Callithrix jacchus: one gene and its partners. The protein of the gene in region 1 interacts with the protein of each later gene in a pairwise test. Links are inferred from orthologs where the notes say so. Each region holds a gene or a part of one and is shown in the gene's direction. Other genes may lie near its edges.

The links.
Region 2: the proteins of AHCYL1 (region 1) and SLC23A1 interact in binary tests that used the Homo sapiens proteins (3 or more experiments, as listed by UniProt). The two-hybrid records come from large-scale screens. The link is inferred for Callithrix jacchus from reciprocal best matches to the Homo sapiens genes AHCYL1 and SLC23A1.
Region 3: the proteins of AHCYL1 (region 1) and CDKN2C interact in binary tests that used the Homo sapiens proteins (3 or more experiments, as listed by UniProt). The two-hybrid records come from large-scale screens. The link is inferred for Callithrix jacchus from reciprocal best matches to the Homo sapiens genes AHCYL1 and CDKN2C.

The regions. Positions count from the first base shown.
Region 1 is NC_133508.1:147,860,432-147,864,068, forward strand, and holds part of AHCYL1 (S-adenosylhomocysteine hydrolase-like protein 1), read left to right. Parts: intron 1-711; coding exon 712-855; intron 856-1,858; coding exon 1,859-1,959; intron 1,960-2,398; coding exon 2,399-2,501; intron 2,502-3,637. UniProt on the Homo sapiens protein: Multifaceted cellular regulator which coordinates several essential cellular functions including regulation of epithelial HCO3(-) and fluid secretion, mRNA processing and DNA replication.
Region 2 is NC_133503.1:37,764,063-37,768,239, reverse strand, and holds the start of SLC23A1 (solute carrier family 23 member 1), read left to right. Parts: upstream 1-1,328; 5' UTR 1,329-1,380; coding exon 1,381-1,416; intron 1,417-2,015; coding exon 2,016-2,129; intron 2,130-2,567; coding exon 2,568-2,725; intron 2,726-3,740; coding exon 3,741-3,829; intron 3,830-3,990; coding exon 3,991-4,058; intron 4,059-4,177.
Region 3 is NC_133508.1:87,839,329-87,843,561, forward strand, and holds the start of CDKN2C (cyclin-dependent kinase 4 inhibitor C), read left to right. Parts: upstream 1-1,325; 5' UTR 1,326-2,570; intron 2,571-3,025; 5' UTR 3,026-3,036; coding exon 3,037-3,165; intron 3,166-4,233. UniProt on the Homo sapiens protein: Interacts strongly with CDK6, weakly with CDK4. Inhibits cell growth and proliferation with a correlated dependence on endogenous retinoblastoma protein RB.

The DNA.
Region 1 (3,637 bases):
TTTTGGCTTTTATGTGAAACTGCTTTTTAAAGTTGATCATTTTGACAGGCTTTCCCAGTGCTAACAATAGAGCTGCTTGTCTTTTGTGCCGTTTCTTTCTTTCTCTATTCCTTGAGCACAAGCTAGTGTAAAATCCCTTGTAGACTATCTTATCACTTTGTCTTTACCCTTGGTTCTTAAAGTGAGGTCCTCTGACTAACAGCATCAGCAACACCTGGTAACATGCTGGAAATACTGATTATTAGGCGCCACTCCATACCTACCAAATGGGAAACTGGCCATGGGGTCTAGTAATACATATTTTAACAAACCTCCCATGTGATTGTGATAGATGCTTGAATTTGAGAACCAGTGATCTATAGAAATAGCTTTCCTTATCTGCCCTAAATTAATTCTTCCGTTTTCGCCAGGTCTGCTTCCAATCCAGACGGGACCAGGTACCTCTTTTATCCGGAATTACTATAGTTGGTACAGGTTTAGAATCAGTGGTCTCTTATCACAGGCACTAATAGCACAGTATTAGGGTGGGTGAAAGAGCTGTAACACAGAAGCATCCACAACAGTTTCATTCATGCCACCTAGAGGAGCAGAACTGAGAGGCTCGTGAAAGGTAGCTCCCTTAACTTAAATGAAAGTCCTTTGGGACTGCGCTGCAGAGTTGGGGCCACTGAGGTTTTTCTATCCTTGTTTTTTTTTCTTTCCTGGCTCTAGCTGCATCCTACACAGATAGCTCTGATGATGAGGTTTCTCCCCGAGAGAAGCAGCAAACCAACTCCAAGGGTAGCAGCAATTTCTGTGTGAAGAACATCAAGCAGGCAGAATTTGGACGCCGGGAGATTGAGATTGCAGAGCAAGGTAAAGAAAGGGAGTGGGTTAGGGGGCCAGAAGCAACCCTCTTGTTGGCCGTCAGATCCACAAACAACTTAAGACTTGAAAGCTGACTTGAAAATATCCTAGGAAGAAAGACTATATTATGGACTTTAGGATAAACACTTCTCTCTCTATGGAACTTGAGACTCAGGACTCTTGTTCTCTCTTTCTCCTGTTCTCAGCATGTGGTGATTACACACAGAGAGTTTCTGTTTTCCTCCCCGCTCCCACTACCACCACCGTCTTCAAAGATCTACATGCCAGAGCTGGCAAGTCCTAGATCACTACGTGGTAGTTTGTTATATGGGATATTACTATAGCTGCCAATGGCAGAGACCCAGATTTCCCAGAAGCAGCTGATTAGGAAGGGTTTTAAGCTAAGGATGTGGTGACCTAGAGTCTTGTTTGGTCCTGAGCACCCTCTGCTGACAAAGAGTAGAAATGACTGACAGTTAAATCTTGGTTTCTCTAGTCCAGCCACTCCCAGTAAGGTCTTCTTTAGTCTTGTGTTGTTTACACATTGGAGGCATGTTCTATACTGAGAGGCAGTAGAGAAACCAAACAGACTGACAGGATACCGTAAGACAACATAGAAAAACAGAAGTCAGTGGGTTCCGCCGAGGGTAGTCTTCCTGGTCTGATGATTCTACATAGGAATCTGTTAGCCAATGCCTTAACTACTTCTCTCTCTTCCCAACTGAATGATGAGACTCACCCTTCATTTTGATCAGTTTTGAGGATTTACTTCATTCTCTCTTCAGCCCTCTGCATATAAAGCTGAAGCAGTAGAGGAAGAGAGAAACTCCAAGTGGTTGCATGACAGCTCTCCACTGTTACTCTGCTGTTGAAGCTGCCAGTTGTCATGAAAATAGGCTCAAAGTTTTTCTGCCTCATTTCACCATATCTCAACAGATCCAGACCAGCTCTGGGGCAGAAATTGATGATACTGCTAGTGCAGACCTAGCTCAAATCCTCTGTTCTTTCACAGACATGTCTGCTCTGATTTCACTCAGGAAACGTGCTCAGGGGGAGAAGCCCTTGGCTGGTGCTAAAATAGTGGGCTGTACACATATCACGGCCCAGACAGCGGTGAGTTTTTTGGAAGAAAAGAGGGACTTCTGACAAGGGGAAGAAAGAAATGGATTTTTTGTTTGTTTCGCTTTTCGTAACTTGCCAACCTCCAAATGCGAGTTCGGAGGATCTTATTAGTAGGATCTCCCTAGTAACACAATAACGGGGTTTTCTGTTTTTGTTTGTATAAGCAAACCCACTTTTAGCAAACTTGACCTAGGAAGGTCTAGATTTGCAAACATATGATTGTTTTAAGATGTTATTAAGACTAGAAATCTATGTTCTCTGTCAAGTTCAGTACCAGGGCACCACCTTGCTGGATTACACCCTTCTGTAACTTCCCAGTGTAGTGCCTGTTGGTGCAGAGCTGATAGGTATTGTTACCTTGCTGACGTTTGCTCTCTATGTCTGGGTAGCCCTTCTCTTCCTCACCCTGTCTTCCTACACCTCTACACAGGTGTTGATTGAGACACTCTGTGCCCTGGGGGCCCAGTGCCGCTGGTCTGCTTGTAACATCTACTCAACTCAGAATGAAGTCGCTGCAGCACTGGCTGAGGCTGGTAAGTTCAGATGTTTTCACTAACTTTGCCCCAAAATAATTATCCAAACATATAAGTTTTATGTATCGAAATTGTCATTACAGTATCATATATGTCTGGAGGCTGCAAAATTGGGAATGATAAAAACCTCAACAGGAAAAAAGTGGATACTAAAATTAAGACGTTTATCCATGATGGAATTTTATATAGTCATTAAAAATGACCTTTGATGCTGGGCACGATGGCTCATGCCTGTAATCCTAGCACTTTGGGAGGCTGAGGTGGGTGGATCATGAGGTCAAGAGATCAAGAACACCCTGGCTAACATGGTGAAACCCTGTCTCTACTAAAAATATATTTAGAAAAAAATTAACTGGGCATGGTGCTAGGTGCCTATAGGTCCCAGCTACTTGGGAGGCTGAAGCAAGAGAATAGCTTGAAACCAAGAAGCAGAGGTTGTAGTGAGCCAAGATTACGCCACTGCACTCCACCCTGGTAACAGAGCGAAATTCCATCTCAAAAAAAAAAGACCTTTGAAAGGAATCTAATGGCATGGGGAAATGCACAGTTCTAATGTTAGTTGAACAAGGAAGAATGTTAAACTATGTAAGTGCTATCAGTTTTGTGAGAGAGCACAAATAAGAAGTACCTGTTATGTTGGTAGTGCATTAAATAGTTTGGTATTCAGTATGGCATTAAAATATATGGCTTTCATGAGTTTAGTTAAACATAAAGTAATTTTTATTATTCATCCAGGCACGGTGGCCCACGCCTATAATCCCAGCACTTTGGGAGACCAAAGCGGGCAGATCACTTGAGGCCAGGAGTTCAAGACCAGCCTGGCCAACATGGCGAAACCCAGTCTCTACTAAAAATACAAAAATTAGCTGAGTGTGGTGGTGTGCACCCATAATCCCAGCTACTTGGGAGGCTGAGGCAGGAGAATCGCTTGAATCCGGGAGGCAGAGGTTGCAATGAGCTGCACTGATCTGAGATCGTGCCACTGCAATGCAGCCTGGGCAACAGAGTGAAACTCCATCTCAAAAATAATAATAATAATAATAATTTTTATTATTCAAATATTCAGAAGAAAATCACTGTGAAGTTTCTTTGAGGACCTCTCATCTTTCTCTTTTTGTTTTTTCTTGAGACAGAGT
Region 2 (4,177 bases), on another chromosome or scaffold:
CAGAATGGGAACCTCAGGCCCGGCCCTCACCAGCTGAGGAGACTAAGCTCTTAGCACCCCCACCCCATGTCCCCCTCTGCCATCCTCAGGCCCTAGGGCCAGGCTAGGCTGGGCCTGAGAGGAGGGGAGACGGCGTGAGCACAGGACTACCTTCCTGGGCTGGGATGGGCAGCCACACAGGGCCCGATGCGTAGAAAGTCCCTATGCTCCATCCAATGCTCTACTGTTGCTGTCTTTAAATTCTTCATACTTTTGGAACAAAGGCCCCACATTCTTACTTTGCACTGGGTCCCAGAAATTATATGGCTGGGAGGGGAAAGGGATCAGTGTCCTGACCCAGGGTGCAGGCCAGGCCGGGCCAGCCTAGGCAGCTCCACCTGCAGGGGCCCATCTGCTGCCTGCCTCAGGGACCCTGAGGGGTGCGTGGTAATGGGGTTAAGGCAGCTCAGACCAACTTGAATTTTAGGATTGATTTCTGCAACCTTGCTATCTGCTTGGCTTGTGTCAAACCACATCTACTGAATCTGTTTCCTCTGCTGTGAAAGGGGTGAATACCACCCAGCACAGGGGCTACTCGGGACAGTGCTTATCCATGTTTCTTGACACAAGGCCATTCCTCAATAACAAGAATGACTGTGATGATGATGATGATAATGATTAATCGGTTACTAAAAAGTGGGGAAGGGGCCAGGTGCGGTAGCTCATGCCTGTAATCCCAGCACTTTGGGAGCCTGAGGTGGGCAGATCACCTGAAGGTCGGGAGTTCGAGACCAGCCTGACCAACATGGAGAAATCCCGACTCTACTAAAAATACAAAATTAGCTGGGTATGGTGGCACATGCCTATAAGCCCAGCTACTTGGGAGGCTGAGGCAGGAGAATTGCTTAAACCCAGGGGGCAGAGGTTGTAGTGAGCGGAGATCGCGCCACTGCACTCCAGCCTGGGCAACAAGAGTGAGATTCTGTCTCAAAAAAATAAAAAAATAAATAAGTGAGGAAGGGCCTTATACAGGGTGTTACATAATAAATGCTGGTTTCCACTCCTTCTTCTCTCCCCTCACCTGGGACCTGGTAAATTTCCGGTCCTCACCCCTCGACTCGACTCTGGCCCTCTCTTGGAAAACAAGAACAGGTCCGGCACCCAGGCACAGATGCAGGCTGGGAAGAACACATGTGTCAGAGGCTTGGGTGGCCTTTACTACTCTAGTGAAAGTTAATAGGTTACCTTTGTATGGGCCCCCCTTTCGCAATCCGGAGCTGGGCATCTGGTTACAGATTTACTTCGAACAATGCCTGATATGTGGAGTAAAGTCCTCCTCCTTGGCCTTCGTAAAGTCATCCCCTCTTCTCCTCAGGAACAACTCAAACCTGTGCCCCAGAGATGAGGGCCCAGGAGGACCCCAAGGGCCGGACACAGGTGCTGGGGACTGGGGGTGGGGTGGTGGGGGTGGGAGGGCCTGTGCAGGTGCAGGCCTTTTCCCCGGAGGCCAGAGATAAATGTTCTGATGAACTCAATAGACTGACTGGCCCAAACTGAATGTGGCAACTGGGGGATGGGTGGAGGTGGGGATAAAGGAGGCGTCAGCTTTGGGACTGGCTGACTCAGGTTGGGGTTCAGGAGGGGCCCAACCTCCCCTCCAGTGACATCCTAAGGATCTCTAGGGGAAAGAAGTGGGACCAGGTTGGGCTTGTCCACAGTCTCGAGCCCTCTCAGCCCCCTCTCCTGTGGTCCCCAAGACTTCTGACTTAGGGGTCCATTTCCCTGGCTAGAATGCCAGGTCCTGAGGGCTCTGGAAGCCGGCACAGTAGACTCATCCCTGCAGGAAGTAATGTGAAGGGGGAGACAACTGTGGCCAGACCGACTGGCAGCCGGGTGGATAGACTGCTGGGGAGGGCAGGGACCCTACTCTCAGTTGCTGAATGGCCACTTGGGCTACCTGATGGATTCCAGGGCAGAATGGATTTTTGCCTGTCCCCATTACTCCACCCTAAGCTACTTCTCTCTGCTGCCCCCAGCATGAATCCACCAGGGACCCCCCGATGCCCCTACCCACAGAGCCCAAGTTTGACATGTTGTATAAGATCGAGGACGTGCCACCTTGGTACCTGTGCATCCTGCTGGGCTTCCAGGTGGGTCCCCAGGGCCTCCCTGCCCTCACCCTGTGCACTTCCCAGGGCCTCCAGCCCCTCCCTGGCCAGCAGGGAGTATCTTGGGTAACAGGAAGAGAAAACAGGTCAGCACAGTGGCTGTCAGCAGGCAGGGCTGGGGAAGAGGTCAGGTTCTGAGAGAAGATGAACTCCCTGGGGGCGTGTGACGCTTTCGAGGTGGAGCGTTGGTGACGGAGAGCAGAGCCCACTCCACAGAAGCCACAGGAGTAACTTGAGCAGAGATTAGTAATTCCAGAGTGGTGAGCACTAGCTCTCTGGGAATCTCTTGTGGGACTGCCAGTACTGGGCGGGCAGTGCAGGTCCAGGCTTGCTGATGCAGATGTGAGGACACTAGGTTGTCCCCTCTCCCTGGAGCTCTGGGGTCCTGCCTTATGCATTCTGCTCCCTCCCTCTGTCCAGCACTACCTGACATGCTTCAGTGGCACCATCGCCGTGCCCTTCCTGCTGGCCGAGGCGCTGTGTGTGGGCCATGACCAACACATGGTCAGTCAGCTCATCGGCACCATCTTCACATGCGTGGGCATCACCACTCTCATCCAGACCACCCTGGGCATCCGGTGAGCTGCCCAGCCCCCCCCCCCACTGTGATCCACACAGCAGGAGCAGGTGGTCTCCCAGAGGATGCCGGTGAGACAAAAAAAGCCACTATCTACATCCAGCTGCTTCTCCTATCCCAGGCCAGCCTTAGAGAGAGGCCTTGACCCTGGGCACCTTGATCTAGGTGCACTTCGGAGACCAGGCATCTGCAGATTTAAGGGAATGTGCCCTCATTGGCTCTCCCTTTTTTTTTTTTTTTGAGTCAGAGCTTAACTCTTGTTGCCTAGGCTGGAGTGCAATGGTGCAATCTCGGCTCACTGCAACCTCAGCCTTGTGGGTTCAAGTGATTCTCCTGCCTCAGCCTCCCGAGTGGCTGGGATTATAGGCATGCACCATGACTCCCAGCTAATTTTGTATTTTTAGTAGAGACAGGGTTTCTCCATGTTTGTCAGGCTGATCTCGAACTCCTGACCTCAGGTGATCCGCCCGTCTTGGCCTCCCAAAGTGCTGGGATTACAGGTGTGAGCCACTGCACCCAGCCGGCTCTCCTCTCTTAAGGCCTATTCTGAATACTGCCCAAATGGCAGCACTGAGCTGGCTCCCAAGGCCAGTGCTGGCCTCTTCAGTAGCCCACCCTCCTGGGGCCCCACGCCCCAAGAGCAAAGCCCTAGGCCTGGTGGCATTTGAGCTGTTTGGGCAGTGGGAGGCAGGGGAAGATGTGTGAGGAGCTTGGATTCGAGAACTGAGCTGGCCACTTCCAGCCATCTGCTCTCTCCTCACAGTGCAGGAGCTGGCAGGAGGAAGGAAAAGGGGCACGTTTTGAGCTGGGGGTTCCATTTGTTTTCTTCCTTGAACCACCAAAATGTTAGAGATGGTCTTCCCTGGGGCCTCAATGACTTCCATGTGCCCTTGTCCCTCGTGTCTCTGTCCCTCTTTCTGTGCCCTCCTTTCCCGATGTCCCTACAACTATATCCCTCCTCCCCACCCTGCCCCACCCCACTCCTACCTCCCCTGTTGCTCTTGCCTCTCCTCCAGGCTGCCTCTGTTCCAGGCCAGTGCCTTTGCATTTCTGGTTCCAGCCAAAGCCATATTGGCTCTGGAGAGATGGAAATGCCCTCCGGAAGGTGGGTACACTTCTGGGGTCTGCACAGGGGAAAAGGGGAGGTCTAGAGACCTGGAGGTCTGAGCCTGTCCTGGGTGCAGACACCGGGTGCAGCCAAGGCAGCATCTTCTCTCCCTATCTGTCTCTGTACCTGGTTCATGTATGTCCTGACTCAACCCCCAGAGGAGATCTACGGTAACTGGAGTCTGCCCCTGAATACCTCTCATATCTGGCACCCACGGATACGGGAGGTGGGTTTGCATGTAAGAGTGGAAGAGGCTGGGTCCTGAGGAGGGGCTATATGGGAGTGAGGGTGGCCGCTGGAGTTTGGGGATTTGAGGAGGTGGTCCAGAAGCTTTGATCCTGCTAG
Region 3 (4,233 bases), about 60 Mb from region 1:
CAAGAGCGAAACTCCGTCTCAAAGAAAAAAAAAAAAAAAGAAGAAGAAGATAACTAGTTTTTTTCTCAACAATTACGTTAAAGAAAACACTGCCAGATTTTTCCCAGCTTCAACTCTCCCTCTATCAGCCAGTCTGCTGCTACATAATTATCCAGATGTTTCTGGTGTGTCTTGTTGCTAATACTCTGTGTACTTCAGGGAGAAGGGTACAGATATTGCTTGCGCATCCGCTTGCCAAAGGCCGGTTCTAATTAGACTTGTCATTTTTTGCTTGGTTTCATTTTGACCACTGGGTGCATCATGCAACCCTGTTGGATTAAGAGTATAAAAATATAGAAAGCAATAGTTAACCTATCTCGCACAACTAAAAGAGGAAGTTAAAAGTAATAAAAATTGGTGTTGGATGATTAAGTAAAGGATTAGGAGAGAGACCATTCCTTTACATCTAGACACCCTCCCTAACCCGAGACCCCCGAAAAACCAAGCCGCTTCTAAGTAGTGAGAGAACTTAGGCAACAAAGAAATGACTTTGTTAGAAAACACTTCACACGACTTATTTTAAATTTTGCTTTAAATTTGATTGCTTTTCTCCTTTTTCTCCAATAATTGGACTATTTCAGTTTCTAGTCCTTGATTAAGGCTTCAGAGTTCGTTATTCTTACCTACTTAAGTTTTCATAAAATTCAGTCTATACAAGACTTGCTTTTTGTGAGCACTGCGCTTAGTGGCAGCCCGGATTTTTCCCTCCACCCCCGGGGCCACCTCTGCCCACCGCAGCCGTCTGCGTGGATCTAGCAGGTGCGAGGCCGGCCGAGGCCCAGAGCTCAGCCAAAGCAGCCGAGTTTACAGAGCGCGAGCGCCCTAGAGGAGGCAGCGGCAGCAGAAGGCAGGCCTGGCCGCACGAACTTTGCTAGCCTGGCGGGGGAGCTCTGAGGCGGGCCGACCTGCCCCGCTAGAGCTGGAGAACGACTCCCTTTTTGCCAGCTAGCTCTCCGCCTTCCCGCAACCAGCTCCGCGAGCCTCAAAGGCTCTGCGGCCCTTCTAGACCGTCTTAAATAACAACCCCCCGCCCTCGCCCCCATAGGAATCGAGGCAGCTGGGGGGTTCGCGTCGCAGACCCAACCCGCTAGCAGAAGAAAGGCAGGCCGGGCTTCGCGGTGCCGAACCCCGCTCCAGCTGGGGCCAGGCCGCCTAGCCCGCGGGCGGGAGCCGGCGCGAGAGACTAGACGGGAGGAGGCGGGGAACGCGAGGCGGGAGTGAAGGCGCTGGGCCGGGCGGGCGGAGCTTGCGAGGCGGCTAGCGCGAGCGCCAGCGGGGCGGAGGGCGGGGCGTGGGCGGTGCCCGGCCTTCCCGCTCCCGCGGAGCTGCAACTCCGCCGAGCCTCCTTAAAACTCTGCCGTTAAAATGGGGGCGGGTTTTTCAACTCAAAAAGCGCTCAATTTTTTTCTTTTCAAAAAAAGCTGATGAGGTCGGAAAAAAGGGAGAAGAAACCGGCACCGTCTCTGAGAGGCAGCAGAAGCAGCAATTGTTTCAGCGAAAAAAGCAGCAAGAGAGGGAGGGAAGGAAAAAAGCAAAAAAAGGGGCGACGCGCGAGTGCCTGTAGGGGTGAAGAGAGCAGGGACCGGCGATCTAGGAGGGGATCAGCTACAAAAGAAACTGTCACTGGGAGCGGTGCGTCCAGGGAGTAAGCAGTGCTGCCAGGCTCGTCTCCAGGGCACAGCTGGCTGGCGGCTGCCCTGTCCGCAGCAAAGGGGCACAGGCCAGGGACCGCGAGAGGTTGGCGAAGTGGCACCGGGCGCTGAAGCTGCTGAGCTCTCGCCGAGACGGCGGCGGGACTGGCTGCGCCCTGGAACTGTGGCGACTACCTCTATTCAGAACTTGGCCTACGCTTTCCCGGACTCTCCCCAACTCCGGAGACCCCACAAAACCGGGATAGGACGGCGACGGCGGCAGCTCAATGAGTGCCTGCAGCAGAAAGCCTGAACGAGCTCGGTCGTAGGCAGGAAGTTCCCGGGGGGCTGCCCAGTGCAGCCGCAATGCTGCCGCGAGCTGCCCCAACAGCCCGGGCCCCTTAGACGCTTCCCGCATCGCTCTCCTCCTCCCTTAGGCTGCCGGGAGTCCCGGGACCTGGCGGGGCCGGCATGACGGGCTTCTCCGGGACCCGCCGCACGCCCGGCAGCCTCCGGAGACGCGCGCCGAGCCCGGCTCCCACGGCCTCTGAGGCTCGGCGGGGCTGCGGCTGCCTGGCTGGCGAGCTCCAGAGCTTTCCTGAGCGGCATTAGCTCACTGCTTGGCCCAGACGCGACTAAAGGCTTTTCTGGAGAAGTCCAGAGCACTGGGCAGTAGTTACGACCTGTAACTTGAGGGCCAAGGAACTGCTACTCCCGTTCGCCTTTGGCGATCATCTTTTAACCCCCCGGAGCACGTCAGCATCCAGCCACCGCGGCGCTCTCCCAGCAGCGGAGGACCCAGGATTACCCCTTCGGCGAGACGGATGGAAACCGAGCCCCCTGGAGGACCTGCCCCTGCAGTTCTGCCGCACACGGCTCAAGTCACCACCGTGAACAAGGGTGGGTGAATGTCTTTTCTTCCCCCCGAATGTCTTGCCTTCCGCGGTATTTTCTGCCCCGATCTAGTCCCTTAAGTCTCCACACACACTCCTCACGGAGATCTGTAGCGTAGGTACGTGACAGCTCTGCCTACATCTGACGTCCGGAGTCATTAACCAGGAATGTTTGTGTGTCTGTGTGTCTCTCCGTGGAGTCCTCAGAATTCTTCATAGGGGTTAAGCTAAAAAGCGAGGCGAGGAGCCCCTCTCCAATGGCTCAGTTTTGCTGAATAATCACGTGTGAATCTAGGGGCGGGCTTTTGGCAGGCAGATCTTACTAGTATTTACTACCAAGCTCTACTCCAGATTAACCATCCCAGTCCTTCTGTCAGTCTCCGATGCCATCATGCAGCCTGGTTAGGAGCAAAGGAAAGGGGAAAAAGAAAAACGACTAATTCATCTTTTCCCGATCGTCAGGACCCTAAAGAATGGCCGAGCCTTGGGGGAACGAGTTGGCGTCCGCAGCTGCCAGGGGGGACCTACAGCAACTTACTAGTTTGTTGCAAAATAATGTAAACGTCAATGCGCAAAATGGATTTGGAAGGACTGCGCTGCAGGTTGGTATTCAGAGAGGTGGGGAAAACAGGTCAATAATGTTGCCTACGTGAGCCGGGTTTCTAGAATTATAGCTTTTATGCTTTCAAGGGTTCAAAATTTCACTGTTTTTAAACCTAGTTGGTTGCCATATTTTATATCTTAAGTGGATCCAACTTCTCAAAATGACGTACTTTGAACAAACTCCTGAAATCCAATAACATTCTTGATATCAAGTAGGGTCGAGGTTTGGTCTTAGTTTTTGGAATGTTTTTGTGACGGTGGGGATTTTAAAGTAGTCATAGTAGGGCCGAGGTTTGTTTGCTTTGCTTTGTTTTTAAAGACAGCTTTGTAAACACATTATTATGATTATTATTTGTAGTAAATACACTGCTATTAGTGGTTTCACGTATTTTGCCCTCAATAATTGACTTTATCGTTGATTTTCTTAACTACTGGTGAGGATGTTTTTCCTTCAAATGCTTCAAGTTTTGACAAACGACCTTTCCTTGTTTGGAAGGGGTGCCCTGGGCACCGGGACAGGATGTACATTTCACAGTTAATGTAATACCATCCACTAATTCAGGAGTCGGGAGGAATAAAAAGTTGAATTTTCTAATCAGAGCTCAGCTGCAGTGTCTTTGTCTCTACGGTCAAGCCGTGGTGTGCTCTAATTTTCAGTAATTAGGTTTACAGGCAACAATTGACACATGTCCAGCTGCCAAGTATTGTACCTGATATATTTTTTCCTCTTCTGAATGTTACCATGTAACTTAGAAGAAAAGCTTAGAAACAGAAAAATGACAAAATAGTCTAAAATAGTTGTTTTATCAGAGTCCTGATGATATTCTTATGAGCTATTCTTATTTGGAAATGCAACACTTGAAGCTGTTTTTGAAAACCCAGTGGGGAGAGGGTTTTTAGAGGGCTTTGTTTCAGTTACAAGAATTAAAAATTTAAGTGGCAGGAGATATACTATTAACAAAGTTCGTACAATCTGTACATTTTTAATCAGAATACACTGACCTTGCAAAAATTTCAGTATTAAGGAAGTTTATGCACAGATACTAAATTATTTATCTTGTTATTTC